7 linked regions of the Oryctolagus cuniculus genome follow. The protein of the gene in region 3 interacts with the protein of the main gene of each other region in a pairwise test. Links are inferred from orthologs where the notes say so. Each region holds a gene or a part of one and is shown on either strand. Other genes may lie near its edges.

The links.
Region 1: the proteins of GRN (region 3) and GLRX3 interact in binary tests that used the Homo sapiens proteins (3 or more experiments, as listed by UniProt). The link is inferred for Oryctolagus cuniculus from reciprocal best matches to the Homo sapiens genes GRN and GLRX3.
Region 2: the proteins of GRN (region 3) and ARFGAP1 interact in binary tests that used the Homo sapiens proteins (3 or more experiments, as listed by UniProt). The two-hybrid records come from large-scale screens. The link is inferred for Oryctolagus cuniculus from reciprocal best matches to the Homo sapiens genes GRN and ARFGAP1.
Region 4: the proteins of GRN (region 3) and FAM76B interact in binary tests that used the Homo sapiens proteins (3 or more experiments, as listed by UniProt). The link is inferred for Oryctolagus cuniculus from reciprocal best matches to the Homo sapiens genes GRN and FAM76B.
Region 5: the proteins of GRN (region 3) and FAM131C interact in binary tests that used the Homo sapiens proteins (3 or more experiments, as listed by UniProt). The link is inferred for Oryctolagus cuniculus from reciprocal best matches to the Homo sapiens genes GRN and FAM131C.
Region 6: the proteins of GRN (region 3) and C21H22orf39 interact in binary tests that used the Homo sapiens proteins (3 or more experiments, as listed by UniProt). The link is inferred for Oryctolagus cuniculus from reciprocal best matches to the Homo sapiens genes GRN and C22orf39.
Region 7: the proteins of GRN (region 3) and NLK interact in binary tests that used the Homo sapiens proteins (3 or more experiments, as listed by UniProt). The two-hybrid records come from large-scale screens. The link is inferred for Oryctolagus cuniculus from reciprocal best matches to the Homo sapiens genes GRN and NLK.

Annotation. Positions count from the first base shown.
Region 1 is NC_091446.1:2,025,041-2,028,540, reverse strand, and holds part of GLRX3 (glutaredoxin-3), read left to right. Parts: intron 1-1,140; coding exon 1,141-1,180; intron 1,181-1,271; coding exon 1,272-1,364; intron 1,365-3,500. UniProt on the Homo sapiens protein: Together with BOLA2, acts as a cytosolic iron-sulfur (Fe-S) cluster assembly factor that facilitates [2Fe-2S] cluster insertion into a subset of cytosolic proteins.
Region 2 is NC_091442.1:570,702-574,975, reverse strand, and holds the start of ARFGAP1 (ADP-ribosylation factor GTPase-activating protein 1), read left to right. Parts: upstream 1-1,474; 5' UTR 1,475-1,629; intron 1,630-4,274. UniProt on the Homo sapiens protein: GTPase-activating protein (GAP) for the ADP ribosylation factor 1 (ARF1). Involved in membrane trafficking and /or vesicle transport.
Region 3 is NC_091448.1:18,943,000-18,947,168, forward strand, and holds the start of GRN (progranulin), read right to left. Parts: upstream 2,801-4,169; 5' UTR 2,648-2,800; intron 581-2,647; 5' UTR 574-580; coding exon 436-573; intron 364-435; coding exon 238-363; intron 113-237; coding exon 28-112; intron 1-27. UniProt on the Homo sapiens protein: Secreted protein that acts as a key regulator of lysosomal function and as a growth factor involved in inflammation, wound healing and cell proliferation. Regulates protein trafficking to lysosomes, and also the activity of lysosomal enzymes.
Region 4 is NC_091432.1:87,210,554-87,214,678, forward strand, and holds the start of FAM76B (protein FAM76B), read right to left. Parts: upstream 2,801-4,125; 5' UTR 2,508-2,800; coding exon 2,421-2,507; intron 1,601-2,420; coding exon 1,536-1,600; intron 693-1,535; coding exon 638-692; intron 1-637. Other genes in the region: CEP57 (centrosomal protein of 57 kDa), read left to right, coding at 3,704-3,748. UniProt on the Homo sapiens protein: Negatively regulates the NF-kappa-B-mediated inflammatory pathway by preventing the translocation of HNRNPA2B1 from the nucleus to the cytoplasm.
Region 5 is NC_091438.1:153,577,352-153,580,746, reverse strand, and holds the end of FAM131C (protein FAM131C), read right to left. Parts: intron 2,427-3,395; coding exon 2,244-2,426; intron 2,030-2,243; coding exon 1,919-2,029; intron 1,370-1,918; coding exon 1,107-1,369; 3' UTR 1,106-1,106; exon of another isoform or gene 880-1,105; 3' UTR 501-879; downstream 1-500.
Region 6 is NC_091452.1:27,283,293-27,287,437, forward strand, and holds the start of C21H22orf39 (synaptic plasticity regulator PANTS), read right to left. Parts: upstream 2,801-4,145; 5' UTR 2,637-2,800; coding exon 2,610-2,636; intron 2,494-2,609; coding exon 2,326-2,493; intron 345-2,325; coding exon 216-344; 3' UTR 1-215. UniProt on the Homo sapiens protein: Negatively regulates long-term potentiation and modulates adult synaptic plasticity. Stabilizes the interaction of RTN4 isoform A/Nogo-A with its receptors, inhibiting clustering of postsynaptic AMPA receptors at synaptic sites.
Region 7 is NC_091448.1:43,824,361-43,827,860, reverse strand, and holds part of NLK (serine/threonine-protein kinase NLK), read right to left. Parts: intron 2,558-3,500; coding exon 2,348-2,557; intron 1-2,347. UniProt on the Homo sapiens protein: Serine/threonine-protein kinase that regulates a number of transcription factors with key roles in cell fate determination. Positive effector of the non-canonical Wnt signaling pathway, acting downstream of WNT5A, MAP3K7/TAK1 and HIPK2.

The sequences.
Region 1 (3,500 bases), on a different chromosome or scaffold from region 3:
ATTTTTTTTGAGTGTTCCTGTGGGCAGTTTTCTTTGGAACTTGTTACTAAGTAAACAAGATTTCCGTATGAATGCAGATTCCCTTTCATAGGAAGTGTAGTTATTTTTTATGCGTGGTGCCACTTCCCCATCCTGCTCTGTGAGCATTAAAGAGCAGCTGCGTAGGAGGGCTGGGGCCAGGAGTGGGCTGAGCGCACTCAGTGCTGGGCTCCAGAGGTCGGTAGGCTACAGCTGGCCGCAGGCTTTGTGACTCGGGTGGTGTGGGAACACACACGCACCCTGCAAGTGGGCGCTGTGGCTCTGGCCGTGGCTGTGGCTATGGCTGTTCTATACCCTGTAACAGAACTGAGGAGCTGCAGAGTCTGGAATGTTCACTGTTGGCCTGTGAGAGCATGTTGCTAGCTCCTGATCTACCCCATAACCCCCGTACGAGGGAACTTAAGAGAGTTCAAGGGAAAAATGGGAAGTCCGTGCATTTTTTACGATGTGCATTTTCTGTGAGCCTTCTGAACACTTTTTTTTTTGGTAAAGATTTATTTATTTGAGAGGCAGAGTTACAGACAGAGAGACAAAGAGAGATCTTCCATCCGCTGGTTCACTCTCTAAATGGCCGCAACGGCTGGAGCTGAGCCAATCCGAAGCCAGGAGCCAGGAGCTTCTTCAGGTCTCTCACGTGGCTGCAGGGGCCCAAGCACTTGGGCCATCTTCTACTGCCTTCCCAGGCCATCAGGAGAGCTGGATTGGAAGAGGAGCAGCCGGGACACGAACTGGTGCCCTTATGGGATGCTGCTGCCACAGGTGGAGGCTTAGTCTACTATACCATAGCTCCAGTCCTTTGACCACTTCTTGTATGCATGAATTTCAGAATTTTTAACATCGAAATTATCTTTTAATTCTATTTTCAACGAGCTTTTGAAGTACCCTTGTATTACCTAGAGAAGAATCCAGATCAGTTTGAATTGGGATGATTTACTCTGTGGGAGCAGACAGACGAGAAGTAAAGTCATTCTGTCGGTCTGTAGCACATGTTAGCAGTGGAAAAGTTGATCTGCTTTTCTGGACTGTGTTAATAACATCAATGGGTTTTAGATTTTTGTGTAAAAAAACTACTTCCTGTTGAAATGTTTTTCCTTTTTGCAGTATTGAATATGAAACCTTCGACATACTGGAGGATGAAGAAGTAAGTTTTGTATTTTGTGTTTTGTCCTTAGTCTTGGTTTTAACAGTCAGGGTATGACAGGAAGGCTTCAGGGTCCCTGTTGTCTGTTTAGGTTCGGCAAGGGTTGAAAGCGTACTCCAGCTGGCCGACGTACCCTCAGCTCTACGTGAAGGGAGAGCTTGTGGGAGGACTGGATATTGTCAAGGTAAGCTCCTCATCTGCTGTCCTGAGAACTGGAGACCTGGGCGCCTTTGAAATCCACGCTTCACACTGGGTGTGGACCCTGGGCCCATCTCTGGGTGCATACTCTGGGCCCATCTCTCTGGGTGCATACTCTGAGCCCATCTCTCTGGGTGCAGACCCTGGGCCCGTCTCACTGGGTGTGGACCCTGGGCCCATCTCTCTGGGTTCAGACCCTGGGCCCGTCTCACTGGGTGTGGACCCTGGGCCCATCTCTCTGGGTGCAGACCCTGGGCCCGTCTCACTGGGTGTGGACCCTGGGCCCATCTCACTGGGTGCATACCCTGGGCCCGTCTCACTGGGTGCGGACCCTGGGCCCATCTCTCTGGGTGCAGACCCTGGGCCCGTCTCTCTGGGTGCAGACCCTGGGCCCATCTCTCTGGGTGCAGACCCTGGGCCCGTCTCTCTGGGTGCAGACCCTGGGCCCATCTCACTGGGTGCATACCCTGGGCCCGTCTCACTGGTGTGGACCCTGGGCCCATCTCTGGGTGCAGACCCTGAGCCCATCTCACTGGGTGCATACCCTGGACCCATCTCACTGGTGTGGACCCTGGGCCCGTCTCTCTGGGTGTGGACCCTGGGCCCGTCTGTTCTCCAGCTGCTTGTTCAGTCCCTTCTAGCCCAGGGTGGGCGTCCCTGTGTGTACAGTGTCGTGTCCTCTCACTGCACTTGCCCTGCACTTGCCCTGCCAGACCCTCCCAGGCCCTCCTCTCTGCCCCCAGCGCCTCTTCACCACCTGCCGGCCAGAGTCCACTCTGCCAGGTTACGTGATTTTAGTTTCCCTTGTGCTGTACTCGGCCAGGCAGAGGTTCCTGTCGTATTTTCCTGGTTTTCGGCATTCCTCCACCATCCCCTTGGCTTTGGATTTTCTTACAAATTCTATATTTAAATCTCTTTTCTGTGTCTTTCAAGGCCAACCTGTCAGCGAATCAGTCAGATTCTTGCAGCCAGAAGCATTGCTCCTGCTGTTGAAGTTGCCTGTCCCTTTATTGCTTTGTTGTTAGCATTCTGGTTATTAGAATGACTGCTAGTCTGCACTCGAGTGCATGGAGCGGGAAGAGGAGCAGGAAGCCGTGGGCTACAGGCTGCTGGAGGCCTACAGCCGGCGCGGCCCCGCCTGCCACACCCAGAGCCAGGGTCGCTGGGCTTGGTCTCCTGGGGAAAGATGCAGATCCCTCTTTGCTTTTCAGATGCCAGGGAATCCTCGCGTCAGGTAGCGTGTGCGTTCTGAATCCTCGCGTCAGGTAGCGTGTGCGTTCTGAATCCTCGTGTCAGGTAGCATGTGTGTTCTGAATCCGTCCTGTTGTCCTGCCTTTCCTGGGGTGGATGAAGGGCTTTAACTTGCTCTATGTGAACTCTCAGGACTCTTAAGTGGACATGGCTTTCCTTATGTTTCGGGTCCAGGATGTAGGACGGCTGGCTTCTTCCCACCCGTGTGCATCACAGCAACACTGGTTTGTGCAAACCCATGTGGCAGCTGCAGCGTCAGTGCCTGGAAGCATCGCCCCTGCCCAGGCCCGCCCTGGACACTGGGGATGAGGAGGAGGACAGCAAGGGGCGGGGGCTGAGTGGGAGGTTGGGCTTTTCTGGAGAGGTGGGAGCCAGCGGTCACAGAAGGTGAAGGTGGGTGGCAGCTCCCCGGGGCCCGGCTGGGAAACTGCGTCCAGCCTGCCCCGGCTGCCTGCTTAGCGGAACAGGTGGCGCAGGCAGTGCCACCTCTGGTCAGGTCAGGAGCGGCCGTCCTGTGCTCCTGACCGCGGCTCCAGCCGTTTGCTTCGTGTGGCTGCTCCTGTGCAGCTTTGTCCCCGAGTTCCAGGTCTGATGTGATGCCTCTTAAAAAGGCCAGTGAGGCGTTTTCCTGTTTTCTTAGTAAACTATCTCACTCCTGGAGGGAGAACTGTACCTTCATAATGGCCCCAAAGCAACAAAAATAGATCTGCACTGGGTATTTTATGTATGTGTGTCCTTTGTAAGACAGTCTTCAGACCCCGGATTCTCCCAGCGTGTTCTTGTCTGAGTGTTTTATAGCCTGCACCTCCGCCATGTAGCTCTTGGGAAGACACAATCAATAAATCTCATTTAACTGTAAAAGCTGAGCTGC
Region 2 (4,274 bases), on a different chromosome or scaffold from region 3:
GCTGCGGCAGGGGCGCGCGTGGTGCACAGCCCCACAGACAGGGGCCCGTCCACATGATGGCCGCTCCCCAGAGGGGACGTCGTGAGCCCCCGCCGCCCCTTCAGGGCAAGCAGGTCCAGGTGGGCACAGAGCCCGGGGGCGGGGCTGCCTCCGCACCCTCAGGGCTCTGCACCGGACAGGGGCCTGAGGGAGGGAGTGGGTCCTTTGGACGAAGGACCCGCTGTCCCGTGCTGCTCCTTTGGAGGCACCACCGGCCTGGCATGGGGGAGGGGAGCCCCATTCCTCCTCTGACCAGGTAGGCCTGGATCCCCAGACCACACGGTCCCCTCCCGTCGGCCCCCTGTCACGGAACTTCCCTCTTTCATGGTCATCACAGGAGAGGTCAGGGACCCAGGCTGCCCAGGCAGGCAGCCCTGGGCCACTCTGTGGGACATATGATGCTGACCGTGGCCTCCTGCTGGGAGCCTCGCACCTGGCCCACCTGTTGGCGCGGTCTGATGACCCCCAGGACACGGGAGGATGGCTACTTCCAATGGAGCCCCAGGGGTCTTGGCCACTGCCTGGAGGATGCTGAGGGCCTGCCTGGTCCACAGCCCCCTAAACACCTGTGGGAAACGCCCTGGGGCGGAGATGGGCGTGGTGCTTGTCCAGGTGAGCTTACAGTCCCCAGGGAGACCCAGGGCTCCTGTGGGTGGGGCTCTGCCAGCTGACAGGAATAGAAAGTCGCCTCAAGGGGCCGGTGCCGAGGCGTAGCCGGTAAAGCCGACGCCTGCAACGCTGGCACCCGTGTGGGCATCAGTGCCGGTCCTGGCCGCTCCACTTCCAACCCAGCTCCCTGCTATGACCCGGGAAAGCAGCACACGATGCCCCAGGTGCTTGGGCCCTGCACCCACGTGGGAGACTGGGAGAAGCTCCGGGCTCCCGGCTCCAGCCTGGCCCAGCCCCTGTCATCTGGGGAGTGAAGCAGTGCAGGGAAGGTGATCTCTCCGGACCTCCGCCCTTTAAATCAGTACACCTGTCAGGTGAAAGGCGCCACCAGGAAGGTGCGCCCACAGAGCTCCATCCCGGGCGACAGCCACGCTGAGACCGGGTGGACACCAGCGGGCAGGCCACGCTCACGGCCAAGGTCATTGGCACTTGCCAGCCCTGAGTTTAACTCCTGCTGTAGGCGACGACGCCACCACACAGTCAAAAACAAAGCAAAAGCCATGGACAGCGAGAGGTCACCAAGCCCACAGCTTCCACCGCTCACCTGCCTGGGCCTGGAACCTGAGTGGCGTCCACTCCGCCCCACGGACCCGCGCAGGGCACCCGGGGACCCACCCGCTCTCCTCCTCCGGAGACCCCGACCCGCGGGGACACCCCGCTCACGGTGCCCGGGACCCGCCCCCGCGCAGCCCCGACCCTCCTCCCGCCCGGACCCCGGCGACCACAGGGAAGGTGCGTCTCCATGGCGACCGGCTGGGGTGGCGGCCGGAAGTCCCGCCCCGCCGCGCTGACAGCCTCCCGTGAGGCCTTGCAAAGCGCAACGTTGCCGGAAGCTGGTGGCCGCGGGGGGCGATCCGCGCGCGGTGCGGGTGGCGGAGCAAGCCTGTCCTGGACCCCAGCCCCGGCCGGCCTCTTCTCCAGGTGAGCGCGCGGCCCAGTCCCTGGCGCGGGCTCCCGGCCCTGTCGGGCGACGTCGCTGTCGGGCGCGCGGGGCCTTCCCGGGCGGACCCCCGCACCCCTTCCCTCGCGAGCCTGAGTCCGCCCGCGGTTCCAGGGGCGCCGCCCGCCGCGGCTCTGCGTGGGCCCGGTGCCGGGCGGGGCGCAGGCTCCGAGGCCGCGGTCCGGCCGCAGGCGCCCGCGGAGTGGCAGCCGCCTTGCCGGCCCCCGCGTTGGTGCGGACGCTGGTGTTGCGGGAGAGAGGGCGGGGGCGGGCTCCTCACGCGGCCTTTCGCGTGCGTGGGCTTGCGGGCCAGGGCGGCGGGACGACCCTTCCCGAGCGGCTGGCGCGGTGCGGGGCTTCGGGGCGGCGGGGGCCGGGCTCGGGCGCGGGTCCTCGCCGCGTGCGGTGTTCCGAGCGAGACGGGCACCCGCGTTCTGCCCCGCAGGAGGGGACATCGGGGTCCTTGGACGCTCCGGAGAGTGGGCGGGGGCGGCGCGGAGGGCGCGGGGGCTGCGGACGTCGGCGTGGGCCCCGGGGGCCTCCCTGAGCCGAGCGGGGCCTCGGCCGTGCGCGCGTCCCCGCCGCAGCTCCCTGCGTTCCTGCGCAGGGCCGTTTGCACGTCGGTAACATCAGCCTGAGGATCGGCCGCTGTGGCGATTGCCCCAGCCCTGGCCTAGGACTTCCCGACCCCTCGCCCAGGCGCGCGCCCTCAAATGCGCCCCGGGCCCCCGTGCGGCCACTGTGACCGCAGACCTGGCGAGCGGTGCCAGCCCAGGCCCGGCAGGCAGGAGGGTGCGGGCTCCGCGCAGGAGGGTGCCCGGCGCAAGCTTGGTTTTCCCCCTTGGACCCCAGAATCCGGTGTCTGTTTCCTAACTTCACATGGCGTCAAGCTGGGTGCTGGTGCAGGGGTCAGGGGTCAGGCCGTCCTGAGCCAGAATGAAGTGGGCGGGTCCATCGTGGTTCTGTCTAAGCTGCGTCTGGACAGGAAGTGGCACCTGCGGGCTGTCTGCTCTCTGGGTGCCGGTGTCCTCGCAGCCGGCGTTGCCGTGTGACTAGGAGGGGACACGGCAGGGGCCACACGGAGTGTGTGTGTGCAGGGGGCTGAGGCCCAGGAGTGTGCGGGACCAGGCCGGGCTCACCTCACCAGGGGTGCGCGGGACCAGGCCGGGCTCACCTCACCAGGGGTGCGCGGGACCAGGCCGGGCTCACCTCACCACGGGTGCGCGGGACCAGGCCGGGCTCACCTCACCAGGGGTGCGCGGGACCAGGCCGGGCTCACCTCACCACGGGTGCGCGGGACCAGGCCGGGCTCACCTCACCATGGGTGCGCGGGACCAGGCCGGGCTCACCTCACCAGGGGTGCGCGGGACCAGGCCGGGCTCACCTCACCACGGGTGCGCGGGACCAGGCCGGGCTCACCTCACCACGGGTGCGCGGGACCAGGCCGGGCTCACCTCACCAGGGGTGCGCGGGACCAGGCCGGGCTCACCTCACCAGGGGTGCGCGGGACCAGGCCGGGCTCACCTCACCACGGGTGCGCGGGACCAGGCCGGGCTCACCTCACCACGGGTGCGCGGGACCAGGCCGGGCTCACCTCACCAGGGGTGCGCGGGACCAGGCCGGGCTCACCTCACCAGGGGTGCGCGGGACCAGGCCGGGCTCACCTCACCAGGGGTGCGCGGGACCAGGCCGGGCTCACCTCACCAGGGGTGCGCGGGACCAGGCCGGGCTCACCTCACCACGGGTGCGCGGGACCAGGCCGGGCTCACCTCACCACGGGTGCGCGGGACCAGGCCGGGCTCACCTCACCACGGGTGCGCGGGACCAGGCCGGGCTCACCTCACCACGGGTGCGCGGGACCAGGCCGGGCTCACCTCACCAGGGGTGCGCGGGACCAGGCCGGGCTCACCTCACCAGGGGTGCGCGGGACCAGGCCGGGCTCACCTCACCATGGGTGCGCGGGACCAGGCCGGGCTCACCTCACCAGGGGTGCGCGGGACCAGGCCGGGCTCACCTCACCATGGGTGCGCGGGACCAGGCCGGGCTCACCTCACCATGGGTGCGCGGGACCAGGCCGGGCTCACCTCACCATGGGTGCGCGGGACCAGGCCGGGCTCACCTCACCATGGGTGCGCGGGACCAGGCCGGGCTCACCTCACCAGGGGTGCGCGGGACCAGGCCGGGCTCACCTCACCAGGGGTGCGCGGGACCAGGCCGGGCTCACCTCACCAGGGGTGCGCGGGACCAGGCCGGGCTCACCTCACCAGGGGTGTGCGGGACCAGGCCGGGCTCACCTCACCACGGGTGCGCGGGACCAGGCCGGGCTCACCTCACCAGGGGTGCGCGGGACCAGGCCGGGCTCACCTCACCAGGGGTGCGCGGGACCAGGGCTCCACCCCTGCCCCCAGCTGGAAGCTTGGATTGTGTGAGTTTTCTGGTTGCGAGTCAATCGGCCACGCGCCGAAGCCAGTGCATCCTTAGGAAATGAGAAGTTTTTCTGCTGGACCTGGGCCTGGCTGCCACTGTCCCTGCTGGTGGTCACGGGGGTCCTGCTGCGCCCAGAGGGAGCTCAGGGTGGCCCCTCGAGGACCTGCCCCAGACCCCCAGGCTGGCCTTTCCACACCGA
Region 3 (4,169 bases):
CGGCCCTCCCCTGTGCCCCTGCCGCACCTGCCGCCCGGAAGCAGGCTCGCCCATCCGCGCTGCAGTGGAAGCCCCGAGGGCAGCAGTGACGGCCATCCGCGCAGGACACAGCCTGTGGGACACAGAGGCGCCTGCGTCGGGATGGCCCTCCTACCCGAGGGGGCGGGGGGCGGGAGGCAGGCAGGCAAAGTGCAAAGGCAGCTCCGAGCCCCTCCACTGCATAAGCGGTGCCCTCACCTCCGGAAAGGGGCAGCAGCTGGAGGTGCCCGAGACGGTGAGGACGCAGGAGGCGCCGTGGGTGCAGTGGGCACCCACCTGGCAGGGTCTGCCCAGACGCCTGCTCAGTGTCGGGGGCCATTTGTCCTGCAAAGAGAGGCCAGAGAATAGACCGAAGGCCTCTGCCCGCCTTGGGAAGGCTCTTAGCCGGGCACTCACCGGCACGTGGCTGCAGCAGCTGTAGCCGGCTCCTCCAGGGTCCAGGCAGCAGGCCTCGGGGCAGCGCTGACCGTCGGGGCACTGTGTTCCAGCGACCAGCCCTGCCATGACGGCCACCCAGCTCACCAGGGCCCACATGGTCTGCCTGCGAACACCAACGGGCACCTGTCAACCAGCTGAAGTCCAGGCCGCCTCAGAGTCTGAAGCCGCTCGCTCAGGCAGCCCCAGGCCGACGTCCAGGCCCGGGAGACCTGGAGCCTGCCTCCCAGCTCCGTCCCGACGCAGAAACGTGTGGCTCGGACGCAGCTTCCTCCCTGTGTGTCATTGCATGTTCCAAGCACGTGACACTCCTGCGTCTCCGTGTGCGAGTGTGCAGACGCGGGCTTGTGAGACGCAGTGTGGATTCTGTGGATGTGATGTGTGGAGACGTGGGCCACCTCGGGGGGGGGGGCTCAGGGCCAGGGGAGAGGATGGGGCTGGGGTACAGGAGGGGCTTCTCCAGGAACATCCAAGGCTCCCCACTCCTCAGCCAGTCCTCCCAACGCTGCACCCACACCTGCCCTTGCTGTGGTCTCGCAGGGCCCAGTGGTCACTTCCTGACACGGACGCCACAGGGTTAAGAAAAGTTGTGAAACAGGAAGTGGCAGCCAGTGGAGACTCGGGTGTCTTCCCCAGGGCTCCCTCACTGCTGCCCGCGGCGGTCCCCACCCCACCCAGGACAGGAGACACGGAGGCAAGGGCAGCTTCCAGATCCCTGTGTGCTGAGGGCCCCCAACACCACCAAGGGCCCTGTCAAGTCCCCAAACACATCACCCATCCCCATGTCTCCTCTGCTGGAAATGAAGCAGCCACATGTGGGCAGAGGCTACTGCGCCCGCTGGGCGGCCCATCTGAGTCAGCGGGAGGAACCGGCCACAGGCTCCTGGGGGAAGCCGCCTCCTGCTACCCACACAAGTCTTTCCCCGGGCTCGGGGCCTGTGCCGCCAACCCAAGAAGCGCTACCCTGCCTCCCGGCCGGGCCGCATGCCTGCCGGGGCACTCCTGGTTGTTTACTGCTTTGCAACCATCATCCAGCGTGAGGAGCACGACCTTTACCCTCAGAGGGAAACTGGAGCCCGAGGCTTTATGGCAGAAGTCCAGCCCCGTGCCAGCTCCAGTGAGAGCGGGCCCTGATGGCTCAGGGCACGCCGGCCCGGGAAGGGACCCCAAACCATGGGAGGGGTGGGCCTGGGGTCCAGGCACAGGCAGGGAATGGAAGTGTTTCCTGCATTTGCTCAAGTACCCCCCCCCGGCCCCCCACACACCTGGAAGGCCACCCCCTGGCTCTCGCGGCCGCAGCCTGGTCCTGGACCGAGCCGCCTGGTCCTGGACCGAGTCCCCAGGTCCGCGCTCGCCCCTCAGCTCCCGGGCAGAGCCCGCGCAGCCGCCTGCACCTGCTTCTCCGTGCCCAGCCCCAGCGCAGGCCGCCAGGTGGGGGCCTGTCTGCCCGGGACTACCCGGCGCCCGTGACCTAGCTGTCGTATCTTCCTCGCCCTGTATCTGGAGTGGGGGGAGTGCAGTGCACGCTCTGGCGAATCCACACGCACGCAGGCGCGCACAGCCCCGGCGATGGGGCGAGGGTCTCCCTCACCCCACCCTCACCCCCGGCCCGGAGAGGACGGAGCCTCTGTAAGCCCCTGGCACCTTCCGCTAAGTGGCACTCCCAACCCCAGGGCCAAGGGGCCAGGAAATTCCCCAAAAGGTGAACTGCGAAGGCGCAGGAAAAAGTGGCGGGGAGAGGCGGAAGTTAGCTCGTGCCGCCCCCCGGCAGAGGAAGTTGGGGAAGAGCCAGACTCCACCCGGGGGTTCAGTCACCTCTCCCCTGTCCCGCTCCAAGCCCCTCTGCGCCCCGGGACAAGCGGCGGGCGGGCGGGCCTCCCCTTCAGGGACCACCCCCCACCCTCACCGCCAGAAGGGGAAGAGCCGGCACCTGCCTGCAGGCGGTGGGGCAGGCTCAAGAATCGGGGGGACTGCGGCTCCCGGGGTTCTGGGAGGCAGAGAAGCCCCCTCGGGTGGGGGTGTCTGCAGTGACTGCTTGCGCCCCCTACCCCCGTGCATCAGAAACCCCTAAAGGAGTTTCCACAAGCGGCTCTTCTCTCGCCTCCGGGCTGAGACGCCAGAGGACCCCTAAGCCCACACCCCCCTCCAAGCCCCTGCGCCGCCGCCCTGCTACCTGCGTCCGCGTCCGCGCTCCCTGGGCAGCAGCCGCGGCTCCCCTCACGGACGCCGGCCCCTCAGCGCGCTGGCCCACCCTCCTCTGTTTCCATTGGCCGGGGATCCCAGATACCGCGCCCCCATTGGCTAGTCCTCGACGTAGAGGCGGGGCCAGCCTGGAAAGCTGTGTTTCTTTTTCTCAATTCAGCCTCCTCCTCCCCTTCCTCTCTCTCCCCACACCCCATTTTCTTGGGATCATGTGATTGGGGAATCATATGACGCCTCGGCCGGGGCTGCCGCTGCCAGCCTCGCAGCCAGCCGCGTGCCGCCGGCGCCTGGAGTTGTGTGCGGGAGGAGGGGCCCGCGTTATTTGTGGACGCTGACCGCCGGCCGGCCGCGCCTCTGCGGGGCGTTCGCGGGCGTTCGCGGGCGCTGGGCGGCGGAGCTTTGTGCACTCCGCTTCTGTTCTTTGAGCCGCCTCGCGTTAAAGGTCGGGCAGCCGAACCCCGAGGGGAGATGAGGGATGGCTGTGGACGCCGAAAGGGGCAGCTCCCAGACCCTCGCCTAAGCGGCCGGGTCAGGCTCAGCGCGCGTGCCGGGTGCCGTGGAGGTGCTGGAGGGAGAGGAGCGAGGGTGGCTCACGCCCGAGAAGGAGGGATTGAAGTCGGCCGTGGGAGCAGTGGCTCGAGCTGAACCCGCGAGGACCTGGGTCGCAGCGGGGGCGGGGCGGGGCGCTGGGAGATCGCACAGGCCCGGAGCCAGGGGGGCGCCCGGCGCGGGTGGGCAGCGAGGGCAAGTGGCTCCTAGCTTCAGTCAGCTCTGCCTTCCAGGAGCGGACACGGCGAGTGAGGAGAGCAGAGATTCCCCAACGGGGGCAGTGTTGCCCACCGGGGACGTTCGCAGCAGCGTCTGGAGACGTCTTGGGGTTGTCACGGCCTCAGGGGTGAGGGGTGTGTTCGCCTCACACCGGGCGTCTTTTCTGTTAGTTTGCACACTTTTTAATGTTCTCGTTTCCCAGCAACAAGCAGTTTTGAAAAGATCGGGGGCTGTGTGCATTGAGGCTTCTAGAAGCGGTCGCACAGATTAAGAGCATTCAATAGGAAAATGGCAGAAGGCAGACTTCTCACAGAAGAACTTAGAAGTCCAGTGCGCTGGGGACGTCGGCGATAGAGGCACAAGGTCCTGGATGCCCTAAGGCGGCCCTCTCCAAGGCCGGCAGTGAGGCTGAGCAGCCGTGCCCTTGCCCTGATTGCTGGCGGCAGGAAGTGTGCAATCGGTTTGCAATGAGCTTGTCCAGTGGTTGCAGCGAGCCCGCGGCACTTCCACGCCCAGGGACAAGGGGACGTGAGAGGCAGACGTCCGGGCTCATGGAAACGTTTGCCACCGGGGGTCAGGCCCGACGCGTCCCTTCCCCGAGCCTCCCACGGGCCCCTGACCAGGCCTGTGGCTCCCTCACCCAGCCACCCTGGCCTCCCTCCCTTTCACGTTTGCTATCACTCCCTCCATCTCCGCAGACCGTTCTCTCCTCCCCCACCTAGGCA
Region 4 (4,125 bases), on a different chromosome or scaffold from region 3:
ACAGATGATATAAAGAACACAACATTACAGGTAGTTTTCAACTTAAAAAAACAGGCACAAGATATTAAACTTCAACCTTAAGAACTACACTCTGATTTTTTTCAATATTGACAGACAACTCAGCACCTTAACTAATATCAGGATAACATACCAATAATGACTAAAATATTCAGAAAGTTGACAGAAAATGTGCATTTTTTAATTTTCATTTTTCCCTAAACTTTCTGCAGTGCCCTTATATAGGACAATCTTTACCAGGTGAATGTCATGAGCATTGTCAAAAAATACCTGAATTGTGCTGCCAGGGAAGTCTGATTATACCAACTTTATAAACAAGTAGGCTCTCCCTATCCAGGAGTTTGCTATATTTGAATCTCTAAAACAATAGCTTTTAAACAGTAACTGTGACTTGCACATGAAATTTAAAATACAGTACATAAAACATTTGCATATTTCCACTGTTTTTAAATGTTGTGAACGTTCCATCAGACTGTCTACAGAAAGTATTTTCATAAAGTATTCTGACATGTTAAAATACACACAGATATAGCAATGCATATTTTTTAAGCAGTACACCTTTGGGATAAACCTTAACTGATCAGTAACAATAGGAAATTAAAATAGAAGACATACTTACTGTCCCAAATTGCTTCACATTTTGAGCACACTTCTTACAAATTGTGTTAGTTTTGCTGAAAAAGAAATTACGTATGAAAGATCATATTTATGTAAGCTTCTGAGATGATCCGCACAATGATGAACTAAGTAAACTGATGAGTCAAATATCTATGATACTTAAAATTGTAATACACCTTCACTTTTTAACAATACCTACACAAAGTTCTTATTTGGGCTATTTTACCCCAATTTATTCCTTTTCCATTAACTTAACACAGATGTTTTTACACATTTTTATTGTGTGCTTTTTAAAGGATACAAAACAAAATCCTAGAGTTTCCTCTCTAGTTGGACAACCTTCCCACACTTGCCATTATTAATGCACAGCATTACGTATCAGTGCCTGCCTACCTCATCTTCCACATGGCCTTTGTCTATTATTACAATGACCATCTCTACTTATTTAGAAATTATCTGCACTTCTCCTAGGTTACCTTCTTGAGTGCTCCCAACCCGGAATTACTTGTTAAAAAGTATGCAATTCTACTGGTACCAAGTTACCAGATTTCACTATCAAAATAAGGCAGTTGATAACACTGTAGACCTGTCCTCAGATCCATTCACACGCTATCTTCTGTAGCTTAACAGTAATCTTCACCCTTCCATTCTTCTTAGCATGGCTGCACATTTTCCACACTAGTATCTTAGCCTTTATTTTTCCACGTCCAGTTCAGGTAGTAAAATGACCACCACTGTTTCATTTTCTATATTCTCTCCTACCACATATAAAACATTTACAACTCAAAGTCTCAGAGACTAAACCATTTTTTAAGATGATATAAATACCAGATTACAACCCCCAAGTACTCCTTCCAGATGGTATTCTGTCTTTAACGATCAAAAACTGATGTACAAACCTCTCTTGTTGGAATTCTGATCTGCAGTAAGTACATTTTACAATAGGATGTGCAATCCGACATTCCTGCAATAAGACAATACGTTAGTCAGTATGTAGATATCTCCAAGTCCCAAACCTTACTTTTCTGGTAGAAAATTATTACCAAATCTGGTCAGATGTCTAGAACAACAATAAAACCTGGCCCCTAACGTAAACAATTGGTGATTTGTCATGTAAGTGGCCAATCACGATATAATTCCTTAGGGAAGGCAGAGGTGTCTTTGTCTTTATTACACGTGGGACTATACTCCGGATAAAGTAAGAAAGCTGTCAGGGCCGATTTCAAGGATTGGTTAAATGTGGAACTACTTATTTTCACCGTTGCTCACAGACAGCATTCCGGCTTTAATGGGATGGGAGGAGCTCCAAATCATAGAGCATTCTGTTCCCAAACCAGTCGCTTCGCTTTCCTGGACAGGGAAGAAGGATGCCATCAGCTTGGCGGCTTCGGGTTCCTAGCAAGAAAGTGCAAAAACCGTCCCCTGCCTCCTGGTGGAAGGCGAGGACAGACCAGGCAGAACACCGAGATGAAAACATCTCCACCCCAGAGTCTCTGCGGCAGAGACAGGTGGCTGCCTCACTCAGCCCCACCCGAGACCCCCGGACGCTGGTGAGGACCGGCCCCCTCCCGGCCCGTCTGGAAGACGGTCTCCCTCTCGTGGGCCTTTTCCCGGCCGGTGCCAACGCCATCGGAACGCGGGGTCCCGGGTCCCGGTGGGGAGGCTAGGACTCCGGGCTCCCAAGCCCCCTGGTGCTCGTGAAGAGCAGGGGGCTGCAGCGCAGCGACCACCCAGCACCCTCGGGTTACGGCACAGGAAACCCCGCCAGCCCGCTGCCCACGGACCTTGCAGAGCTGTTGGCCCTGGGAGAGCTCCTCGAAGGGATAGCGCTGGGTACACTTGGTGCAGGCGTACAGGGCCGAGGCCGCCATCCTGCCCCTCAGTCTCCTCCTCCGCCGTCGCCGCCGCCCGCTCCGAGGCGGGGCCCCACGGGGAACTCGGCCGCCGCGGCCCGCGCTGCGGACTCCTCCTCCGCCCCCTCCCCCTGCCTCGCGCCCACCAGGGCCTCGCCGCGAGAGCCCGAGGCCCCGCGGACGACGCCGCCGTCGTCTCCCTCCGCCTCCACTTCCGCCCCAGCCCACCCAGCGGGGCCGTCCCCGCCTCTCCCGCTTAGGCCCCGACAGCGGCGGAGGGAGACGACGCCGAGAGTTCGGGGCGGTTCAGCTGCACGGCCGCGGATCCGCTTCCTTCTCGGCCTCCCTTCCGCACGCCTGATTGGCTGCAGCGGATACTACGTCACCCGGTCGCTCCTCCCAACGCCGAGCCCCAACTACGCAGAGCGCGCCCACAAAGGGAGGAAGTCGCCGGCCAATGACAGCCCGGCGCTCTCAGCGCGCGAAACCCGCTTGAAACCAGCCCCGCCCAAAGGTCCCCGTCGCCGCGCTCCCTAGCAGCCAGTCCGAGGCCTGGGTGAGGGAGCCCCGATCCAATTGGGCAAGGATTCGCGAAAGATTTGCCCTGCCTCGACATTTTCCCCTTGACTTCTCTTGGGCCAAATCACTAAGCCCCGCCCAATCCTATGTTATTGGCCAAAAGGTAAGTACTTCACCTGGAGAGGCGTCCCCAACTCAAACTGAGGTTTTCTCAGGCGTTTGATCCAAGGGACGTGATGGAGTGGTTTGGACTTCGCATTCGCCTTTACTCTAGTTCAACAATTCAGTTCCGTTGCCACTGGCGACCACACAATCCCCTCGCCCCAGTTCCCTCCGTGGGAAGACCCGCCCCTGGGTAGAACGCCCTGAGGCCCCGGCGGCGCGCAGTTACGGGTCCCGGGCGCGCTCAGTGACTCTCTACCTTGTGACGTCAGCAGGGGGGCGGGTTCTCTCGCATACGCGAAGACGTCCGCTTTATTTGATTGGCTACTGCAGACGTCCGTTAATGCGTGTTGCCCTCTCCGCGTGCGCCCTGAGCGTGGGCGTCGCCGTGGGGGTGTGTGGCTGGGGTTTCTAAGCTGGGCATCCAGCACCCCCCGCCCCTTCCATCCGGGGTTCGGTTTAGGGTCGCCCCTGGTGGGCGGCTCTCGAATCTTGAAGAGCACGAGAACTCAGAGCGCCGGGCACTCCGGAAGATGGCGGCGGCATCTGTCTCTACGGCTTCTGGTTCTCAGTTCTCGGTGAGAAGCGTTTGGCGTTCGAACGGGCTTTAGGTCGCTCTTGGCAGCTGTTCGAGTTTCGTCCCATTTCAGGGCGCCCTAGATTTGCTCTGACGCTGGAGGCCGGCGTGGGGCACTAGACCGCCCCGCGCCACCCGGGCTTCCGCTGCTCCCTGTTGAGGCCGCACCCTCTGGGATCCCTTGAAGCAGGCTTGGTTCGACCCCCCTGCCGCCTCATTCGCTTTTCGGCCTGCCTCGCAGCCCAGGAGGCTGGGCTGGGCTGACGGCGCCCGCTCCCTGGCCTGCGAAAACATTGCTGCTGAGGTCACGTGAGTGTAACGGCTGCTCTTAGCGAGGCGCCGAGACCAGGTGTGCGCGCCCGTGTGTCTAGGAGAGCG
Region 5 (3,395 bases), on a different chromosome or scaffold from region 3:
CCCTTGGGGCGTCCAGTGTCTAGGGCATCCTCCATGTTGGGCCTTGAGACACAGATGGCTAATCCCACACCTGATGAAAGCAACATGACCCCGGTATTCACTGCCTGAGACTGCAGGCTCCCTCCTAGCCACGGGCGGATGAAAGTTCACTGCGGACTCTGACCAGCCCTGGCCAAGGGGCTTTATTCCTCCAAGTCCATTTATTGCGGTAGGTGTGGGTTTCTGCAAGAACTCGAGGCCCTGCTCAGGCAAGGAGCCAAAAAAGATGGCCACCCGCAACTCAGGGGGCTGAGCCTTCTCAGAACCCCGTCTGCTGTCCAGGTGGCTCGCATCCTCCTCCACCTTCTGCTGCTCTCACAACAAATGGCTCCCCTACCTTGACCGGGTGTCTTGGAGCCTTCTCAGACCTGTCTCTTAAACTTAACACTCCATGGGGCCTCCAGAACCCCTGCCCAGGGGCCCAGGCACCCGCCTTCCCCAGCAAAGACCAGCCAAGTGCATGCAGGTGAACCCACCGCTTTAATACCAGGGCACCGTGAGGACGACGGGGGTGGCAGTGGGGGCACCGAGGGAGCAGGTTCGGGACGGGGAGAGCCAGGTGGACACTCCAGACACAGAGACGCTCTGAAGGTGCCAATGAGCAGGGGCTGTGCCTCCAGGGAGGTGACCTCATCTTCCCTAGGGAGCAGGTGCACAGGCGGGGGACTGAGCCCAGGGCAAGGCAGGGTCCCCAGCCCCACTCCTACTGGGTCTCTCTGTCCCCACGAGGCCATCGGCCTGGGATCCTGGCAGCAGCGTCTCTGGGGGCCATGGCCCCAGCATCTGTCGCTGTCCTTGAGCTCCCTGAAGACAAGGGGCAAGGGGCAGTGCCCCCTGAGCCTGGGAAAGACAGAGAAGGGGGACTCAGGCTGCCTCTGATGGCCGGGTCCACCGGAGCACAGAGTGACCCACAGGAGCGCCAGCCCTCATCCCTGCCGCCTCCTCCCTGAGCCTGCCCCAAGAGGTGGAGAGCTGCCCAGCGGCATTCCCAGAGTCCAGATGTGCCTGGGCTACGGACTGGCCAAGGTCACGGTGTGGGCAGGTGCTGGCCCCGTGCAGCCCCCACCTCAGTTATAGAAAACCTCGTCTTCCTCTTCGGAGAGGGAGCCGCTGTCCACCGAGGGGAGCGACCCCTGCAGGCAGCCCCCTGCCTCGGGCCCCAGGCCCCCAGGCAGCCGCTGCCGGTGCTGCTGCTCAGGGCTGGGGGGCTGGGGGCTGGCAGGGGGGAGGGGAGAGGGGGAGGGCCACTCATCAGGGGAGTGGCCAGGCGAGGAGAAGGCCAGGAGGCTGTCATCCCGTGATGGGCCGCTCAGGAAGCTGTCCTGCAGGCCTGCAAAGCAGATAGGGGGGCGGATGCATCCGGGCTCCTGAATAGTGGCCCCTCCAGGTGGGAGGATGGCCCGCCCACAACCCCTACCCCACGCCCCACTGCGGCTGCCCAGTGTGTGACCTTGGCCAGGCCCCTGAACCTCCCTGTGTCCACCTCCTCTCTGCCACTCCAGGGAGGGTACAGGGTTGGGGCCAGGTGCTTGGCTGTGCCCGGTGCCCAGTTTCACATCCTCACTCTGACCCTCTGGCTGTGTCACCTGGGGTGAGCTTCAGGGCCTCCTGGTGCCTCCGTTGCCTTAGTTGTAAGAAGGGGACGATGGGACCTACTCCCAGTGCCACAGCGCAGTAAGGGACATTGCAAGCAGAAAGTGCTCATCACCCCCTCTCCCCATGTGGGTGGCACCCGCTGGGCAGTGGGTCCATTGTACAGATGAGAAAACGAAAGCTGGGGAAGGAAGGGTCTTGCCCGCCTCACACAGCCTGGGGTGGCCGCAGGCCTCTGGCCTCAGTTCTGCACCACCCACCCCAGCCCAGGCCCCCCGGGCTGTACCCTGGAGCTGATCCGTGTCCTGGGGGCTGGTCTCGAGGTGCAGCTCCTCACCGTCCAGCGAGGACCAGGCGCTCAGTGTGGCCTCTGTGATGGCAAACTGCTCGGCGACCCCTGGGGACAGTGGGGTATGGGCAGGTGGGGGGAGCGCTGGCACCAAGACCGGCTGAGGGGCCACCTCTCGGGGCTGCCAATCACACCCAGCCACACCCACCCTGTGCCTTCTCTGCCACCCACATGGTGCCCATACAGTGACCCCGCTCCCAGAGGCCGCACTCCACCCCTGCAGAGCGGCCGGGCCCCCTCTCCCCTCCCCCTTCCCGCTGACCTGCTGCAAAGCGGGCCTCCCGCAGCTCATCCGGGAGGCAGTGGTAGCGCTCGTCCTCGGCCGGGGACAGCTCCCAGCCCGATCGCTGGGCGCTCCAGCCCTTCCACTCAATGAGGTGGGCCACGCGGCCCCGTGCCATGGCCGTGGGCTTGGTCATGTGGTCCTTGATGCTCTGCACCACCCCTGGGGCATTGGGGACATTGGGGGACCGTCCCGATGTTACACCCTGCTCAGGTCTGCCTCCCAACCCCTGGAGGCTCTCCTCAGGGTCATCAGGTGGCCCGTACCCCAATCCATCCATGCCTGAGTACGGGGGATGCCCTGTACCCCCCGCCAAGTGCCCCACAGGATTCCAGGGCCCACCCAGTCCCTCCCACCCCTCCCTTCCCAGGGCCTCCCAGGGCTGCACGGCCCCCTGGGCTCAGATGCCCCCCACTCTGAGCCCACGCCCCCCTTCTCCACGCTGGCCACACCCTCCAGTCCTTCTTGACCGAGCTCTCACCCTTGTCCCCGCCCCTCACTCCCTGCCGCTTCTCTCCTGAGCTGTCCCTCAGCGAAGTCCTGCACAGCCACATCTTTCTCAGGTCTGCTGGAGACTGCACCCCAAGGGGACGTGGGTGGCAGAGGGGCAGGGAGACCAGGCCTGGCAACATCGGGGAGATTCGGGCCGCCCCAAGGGGACGTGGGTGGCAGAGGGGCAGGGAGACCAGGCCTGGCAACATTGGGGAGATTCGGGCCACCCCAAGGGGACGTGGGTGGCAGAGGGGCAGGGAGACCAGGCCTGGCAACATCGGGGAGATTCGGGCCGCCCCAAGGGGACGTGGGTGGCAGAGGGGCAGGGAGACCAGGCCTGGCAACATCGGGGAGATTCGGGCCGCCCCAAGGGGACGTGGGTGGCAGAGGGGCAGGGAGACCAGGCCTGGCAACATTGGGGAGATTCGGGCCGCCCCAAGGGGACGTGGGTGGCAGAGGGGCAGGGAGACCAGGCCTGGCAACATCGGGGAGATTCGGGCCGCCCAAAGTCCCACTTGGAGCCTGTGGTAGAAAGTGCTGGATTGCATCAGGGGCAGCTGTTTGGCTCAGTTAAGATGTTGCTTGGGGCAGGCGCTGTAGCGCAGTGGGTTAAAGCCCCGGCCTGCAGGGCCAGCATCC
Region 6 (4,145 bases), on a different chromosome or scaffold from region 3:
CCACAGTGCTTGGCTTCCTGGAAGCTGTGGGGTGGGTGCACTTGACTTTCAGAGCATTGCAGTGGCGGGAGCGCTGAGGCAGTGAAGAGTGGACAGGTCGGGCTGCCTGCGTCCCACTCTGTGTCTCGAGCCGGGAGGGAGGAGGCAGGACCCACTAGACGGGGTTGGTCACAGATCCAATGAAGCCACACCAGCCGAGGGTGGAGGGGTGCCCGTCACTCGTCCTTCTCCTCCTGTGGCAGAGGGAGGTGCCAGTCTGCAGGAGGGCTCTGCCTCGGAGTCCACACCAGGGCGTGCTTCTGTGCGGCCTGGACCCGCGCCCGCTCACTCTCACAGAGGGATCGCTGTAAAAAGACACCCTGGTCACGTCCCCGCACGTGGCCTCATGGTCCGCAAGCACCCTCCCATGGCCCCTGTGCCTCCCGTCTTCTCAGCACCTTTCTGAGCACTGATGGACAAGTGGGGGCATATGGGACCCAGCACTCTGCTGCTCGGCCAGCCTCTTGCATCTAATATAGTCTAGCAAGTGCTCCATGTTCACACACATGAGGGATTTTAAAACATCTGGGTCTCAGGACTCAGTGGCTTCAGTTGCCTTGGTCAAGTCTGGGGCAGGTTCACCTGGGCTGAGGGCCGGGGGCACTGCAGGGGGAAGTGTGGTCAGAAGGGAGGAAGATGAAGCACAAGACCAGGGGGAGTCCCGACCACAGACACGGGGCTGTGCAACCCGGCAGCTTCCCTGGGCAGTGGTCGCCCAGCACACACGCAGCGGGAGGGCGTCATGGCCGGGCTGACTCTTGCCACTGTGGGCCCCTGGTGGGTGGGTGGCAGGTGCCCGGCAGGCCTCATCACACACACGAGTACACCTATCCACCTGTCTGTCTGCATTCAAGCTCTATTGTTTGAAATGTTTTTTGTTGTTGTTGTTCTCATTTACAAAGTGGTAAACAATGTAAAGGAGGACACAAAAGATTCCCAGACATCCACCCTGGACGTGGCGGTGAGCAGCGAGCTTCACCAACACCCAGAAAGTAGCGCTCTCGCTGGTGCCCCCCAGGTGGGGTGCGCCTCTGCTGAGTAGTCCACTTCCAGCTCTTCTCCCTGAACAATGTGGTGCTGGCACCTTTCCGTGCCCACGCCCAGGGACATGACTCTACCCCACTGTGTGGAAAAGTTATCTGGTCGAACGTCTGCCAGTGGAATTTGGGTCACTTTCAGTTCCTGTACTGTCAAAAACAGTGGCACAATGCAGATTGTAATGTCCTAACTGTAATGTTATCCACTTACCTCTCCCAGGATAAAATCCCAGAAGTTAAGACTACGCCTTTGACATTTGGGCCATCAGAACACCATACACCCCCACCAGCACTATACAAGTAGCCAGGACTAACTAAACCCTATCCACACTTCTGACTTCATGCTGGCCAAAAGCCACTCTCCCTGTCATTTTAACTAGCCTACCTGCCTACATTTGGTTTCTTTTTTCAGTGAATTGCTTCTTTGTTTCTTTTGCTCATTTTTTTTCTTAAATTCCAAAATCCACCCAGTTTTCTTACTGATAGAAAAGTGCTCTTTCAAATACACATACACACATGTTATCCATCTCTTGCCATACAGGCTACAAGCTTTCTCCCTCTTTTGTTTTGTTTCCTTTCACTTAGGGACTGTCTTCATTTTCTTTCCTTCCTCCCTCCCTTCTTCCCTTCCTGGATTCTCTTATATGAAAGTCAGATTACAGACTTAGAGAAAGAGAGGGCTTCCATCCGTTGGTTCACTCCCCAGCAGGCTACAATGGCCAGAGCCGAGCCAGGCTAAAGCCAGGAGTGTCATCCAGGTCTCTCACATGGGTTCAGGGGCCCAAAGATTTGTGCCATCCTCCACTGCTTTCCCAGGCACATTAGCAGGGAGCTGGACCGGAAGTGGAGCAGCGACTCGACCTAGTGCTCGTATGGGAGCTGGCGCTGCAGGTGGCTCGACCTAGTGCTCGTATGGGAGCTGGCGCTGCAGGTGGCTGGAGCCAGTGCTCGTGTGGGAGCTGGCTCGTATGGCAGCACACTTTGAGGAGAGAAACTTCCGAACTCTTCGCCTAAGCCCACCAGGTCCCTGGCGCCTTTGCAACCTCACCCCACGCCTCTACAGCCCGCTCCCTCCCCGCTCCGGGCCTGGGTTACGCGGTGGGGTACACCGCGCGGTCCTCCCATCGCTGTCTCCGACGCCGTCCGAGGACTACTTTTCTGGGGGTATTTCTCACAAGAAGGCAAGGCCGGGGCGGGGAGGGAGGGAGTGAGGGAGGCCGGCCGCCCGGCGCCCGCCCCGTCCGCACACCTGGGCCTCTGCGCTGCGGCGCTCCTCCCAGTCGCGGCAGCGGGCCAGGTCGCGCCGCCACTGCTCGCAGGACGGCCGCTCGCCATGGACGTAGTAGTGGTGCAGGAAGTGCCTGGCGCTGCGGCACAGCTTCCACTCGGCGCGGTAGGCTTCACAGGGGCGCGGCGGCTGCGGCGAAGAGGCCAGGCCTCAGCGACTCCCCCGCCCCGCCCTGCCCTTCCCTGGGAGAGGCCGCCGGGACCGCCGAGCTCTCCGCGCGTCCCCGACACCCCCACCACACTCACCTGCCAGCCGCCGCCGCCGTCAGCCATGTCTGGGCCACTACCAAATCCCCGCTTTCACCCGTCAGCCAATGAGGCATGAAGAAAGCCGGCGCTGGCTGATGGATGGACAGAAGAGCCAATAACTCTAAGATACGACGACGAACTCCTCGCTCGCCTCCTTGAAAGGCACCAATAATCAGCACGCCTGTACTAAACAGCCAATCACAGCCGGGGGCGGGGCCGTGCGAAGAGGCGGGTCCCCACAGGGGGCGGATGGGAGGGCGTGTCCCGAGGCGGGCAGCAGGCACCTGCCTGGTGACCAGCGGGCGTTGGGGGCAGCGAAGCCACGTTGATTTGGCTGCAAGGATATGGTTCAGGCCAGATCTTTTTGGCAGCTTTGTTATCTTCCTTGACCTCAAAGATCCGATTTATTTCTGCAAACACATACAGCTCAACTCTGCGCCAGCTGACCCCCTAGGTCTTCAGCTGCAGTGGTGTCGCCATGGTGTCCACTCAGGGTAGAGTGGCGCTCGCAAAGTGACCGAGGCTGTTTGGGCGTGACGCATGTCCTGGGACCAAGGGCCATCAGAGCTGGCCGGAGCTGGCTGTCTGGCACAGCTGGGGTGGCCAGGGTTGCTTTCCTGAGGGCGTGGGCCATCAGCACAGAGACAATGAGGCCAAGTACAGAAGGGGCCGGGCGTGTAGAAGCTCCCCGGGACACCCGTGCTGTGGGTCTCCCACATCTGTGAACAGAACCATTGGCTGGGGAAACCCCAGGAGCAACATGGAAGGTGGCTCGGGAAGCTGTGGGTTTTTTTGTTTGTTTGTTTTTTAAAGATGTATTTATTTGAGAGGTAGAGTTACGTAGAGAAAGGTGTTCCATCCACTGGTTCATGCCACAATGGCCAGAGCTGGGCTGAACCTAAGCCAGGAGCCAGGAGCTGCTTCTGTGTCTCCCATGCAGGTGCAGGGGCCCAAGCACTTAGGCTATCTTCCACCACTTTCCCAGGCCATCAGCAGAGAGCTGGATCAGAAGTGGGGTAGCCAGGGGCTCACTTACTGTGCCAGAGCGCTGGTCCCCGGAAGCTGTGGTTTTACCACGAGACTGGCTGTTGACGTGCTACCTCACTGTCCAAGTGCCAGGGAGGACAGAGAGGAAAGCTGCAGCAGTAACATCCAGGGCCAAAACTAAACGGCCCAACAGTGGGGTCTCCCCCTGCCCAGGAAGGGGACTGTGCCTCCAGGGAAGGAAAAGGGAGGGTTTCATTGCATGCACACAGCAGGGGTGGCATGGTGAAAACAGAAACCCAGGGCCCGGCCTACCTCCACTCATTATGCACAAAATGGCCACTTGCCAGCCAATGCAATCCTGCACTTGGAGGCCGCCCCACCCACCAAGGAGGGCTTCCACCTCTGCTAGGGACCCTGAGGTCACTGCAGGCCTTCATGCCTTCCAGAATCAGCAATGGCCGCTGTCAGTGACAAAGTGGCAGCTGCACCAGAGGGCAGAGCCTGAAGCAGCGCGACCATCTCTGCTCCTCACTGACTGACACTGGA
Region 7 (3,500 bases), about 25 Mb from region 3:
CCTAAACTTCCATGGAACACCTATATCCTCTATCAGAGTGCCTGGGTTGAGTCCAGCTACTTTGCTTCTGATCCAGTTCCTGCTAATGTGCATCTTAGGAGGCAGCAGATGATGGCTCAAGTATTTGGGTTTCTATCACTTTCACAGGAGATGTAAATGGAGTTCTGAGCTCCTGGTTTTGGCTTAGCCCAGACCTGGCTGTTTTATTTGAGGAGTAAGCTGGCAGATGGAAGATCTCTATCTGTCCCTGTTTCTGTCTGTGTGCTTTTCAAATAAAATAAAAATAAATATTTAAAAAATAGATTTTGAATGACAGAGAAACAAATTTAAATGTTCATCACAGCATATATAGTTTCTAACAAACTAGTTAATAATTTGTTGGACAAAGAGGGTAGAATTAATTATTCTATCTCTGGTCCAGTACATGAATTATTTATAAAGATACATAGTAGCCAGGCGATCTTTTGAAATATGATCAATCAAATCTTAACACTCCCTAGTTCAAAGCTTTCATCTATCTTTCCATCACAAAATAAAATACAAAGTCCTTATCAGGTCACCAGGGTCAGGCCCTTTCCCTCTCTTGATGTTATCTCCTTTTTTTTTTTTTTTGATTAAGATTTATTTATTTGAAAGAGTCATAGAGAGAGAGAGACGGAGAGGCAAAAGGAGAGGAGAGGACGTCTTCCATCCACTGGTTTACTCCCCAGTTGGCCACAAGGGCCGGAGCTGGGCTTATCTGAAGCCAGGAACCAGGAGCTTCCTCCAAGTCTCTCATGTGGGTGCAGGGGCCCAAGGACTTGGGCCATCTTCTACTGCTTTCCTAGGCCATAGCAGAGAGCTGGACTGGGAGTGGAGCAGCCAGGACTCAAAACGGCACCCATATGGGATGCCGGCACCATAGGCGGCAGCCTTACCCGCTATGCCACAGTGCTGGCCCCTGATGTTGTCATCTCCTACAGGCTGTTCTTTGATCATTCCACCCTCCAACAGGACACAGCTGTTCATGCCTCAGGACTTTTTTATGCTGCTTGTGCTGTCCCTCTTCTTGGAACACTCCTCCACAGCATGATGCTCCCTCATATAATCCTTTAGGGTCATTCTGCCCTCCCATCATTGTTTATTCCTAAACTTTTTAAGTTTTCCTCATGAAATTTATTATTACTTGGGACTATATCTATTTGCACATTTACTTAGTTTCAGTCTCACCTGAAAGTTTTACAAAGGCAGGATTAAAGTAACTTTGTCTGTCTTACCACAGTACCCGAGCATCCTGGCATACTACCATCAACATAATTGCTAATGATTAATGAGTGCTTACCATATAAAGGCCTTAGTTTCAGCTTTACCACTTCAGAGAGGTTAACTAAGTCACCAAAGGTTTAATAGGTAGGAAGTAACAGAGCTAGGTTTTGAACCTACCAATCTAATTCCACAGCCTGAGCTCACTGTTGTTACATTATTTCCATGTAAATAATATTACTAAAATTTGTGAATAAAAACACTTAGGAATTATCCCAAGACAATGTGCATAAAAATGAATTAGATATAAAGATAAAGTAACATGGTTCCTTAAGGAAACATTTTAATTATCTCCTGATGTCTTCTCCCACAAATAATTTAGCTCAACAAAAAAAGTTAGAAAATTTTCTCCAGTGATCAGATTTACAGAGGTCAGCATTGAGCCAGTGCTGTGGTGTAGCAGGTTAAGCAGCTGTCAGTAGCGCTGGAGTTCCATGTGGGTACCAGTTCAATTCCCAGCTGCTCCACTTCTGATCCAGCTCCCTGCTAATGCACCTGGGACAGTAGCAAAAGACGGCCCAAGTATCTGGGCCCCTGCACCCATGTGATAGACCTGGGTGAAGTTGAAGCGCTTTGCTCTGGCTCAGCCCTGGCTGTTGCGGGCATTTGGGGAGTGAGACAGCAGATGCAAGATCCGCACCCCCATCTCTCTCTCTCTCTCTCTAACTCTGCCTTTCAAATAAAACAAATAAATCTTATTTTATAAATAATCAGCATTATAAATTTCACATTTATAGCACAAAGTGTAAGTACATTAAGTCACCAGATACATTCACTCAGCTAGAAAGAACAGAAGCTCTCTGACAACTGCAGATTACACCTGTGCAAACTGTTACTGCAGAGACTGCTGCATTTAATAAAGTCAACATTTCCAACAGGCTTCTAACTTGCAAATGAATCTCTCTGTAATCTTCAACTTTCTAAAATTCTGAATTTTAAGTGAACTGGAATTTGCTAAAAGCAAATTTGACAGTACAGTGAATGAGCCCAAGACATGTGTGTAATAGAACTGAAAAGTTACTAAAGCCTTAAAATAAAATCATACCTGCTGAATGGGACTCTGTGCCTGAAACAATATTCTTCGTCCTAGTAGTTCTGCAAAGATACATCCGACAGACCAGATGTCAATAGCATTGCTGTAATGACGGCTGCCCATCAGGATTTCCGGAGCCCGATAATACTGAGTAACAACTTCCTGAGTCATATGACGGGATTCATCCAATTCTTCAACTCTGGCCAATCCAAAATCACAAATCTAAACAGGAAAGATAATCAAAATATTATCGAGCAGAAACTACAGCTACAAATGGAAGAGCAAAAACAAAGCAAAACGCCAAAAACTTGGTAGACTTCTGAACTTCTAAAGTTCAATGATACAGGTAGAAAATACTTTATATCAATAAATAATCTGGTCTCAAACATCACTGTTTCTATATAAAATGATGTATCTTAAAAAAATTCTTCCCACAGGGCTGGTGCTATGGCGTGGCAGGTGAAGCCGCCGCCTGCAGTGCCAGCATGCCATATGGGCACCGTTTAGTGTCCCAGCTGCTCCACTTGCAATCCAGCTCTCTGCTATGGCCTGGGAAAGCAATAGAAGATGGCCCAGGGCTGGTGCTGTGGCGCAGCAGGTTAACAACCTGGCCTAAAGTACCAGCATCCCATATGGGTGCTGGTTCAGGTCCTGGCTGCTCCACTTCTGATCCAGCTCTATGCTTGGCCTGGGAAAGCAGTGGAAGATGGCACAAGTCCTTGGGACCCTGCACCCATGTGGGAGACCCAAAGAAGCTCCTGGTTCCTAGCTTTGGATTGGCGCAGTTCCGACCATTGCGGCCAGTTGGGGAGTGAACCATCAGATGGAAGATCTCTTTCTCTCTCTGTCTCTCCTCTCTCTGTGTAACTTTTAAATAAATAAATCTTAAAAACAAACAAAAAAAATTTCTAAAAAAAAAAGAAGAAGAAGAAGATGGCTCAAGTTCTTGGGCCCCTGCACCCATGGAGACCTGGAAGAAGCTCCTGACTCCTGGCTTTGATCAGCGCAGCTCTGGCCATTGTGGCCAACTGGAGAGTGAACCAGTGGATGGAAGACTGCTTTCTTTCTCTTTCTTTTTGCCTCTCCTTCTCTCTGTAACTCTTTCAAATAAGTAAATAAATCTTAAAAAAAATATTCTATTTTCTTCCCAGGACGAGCACGAGAA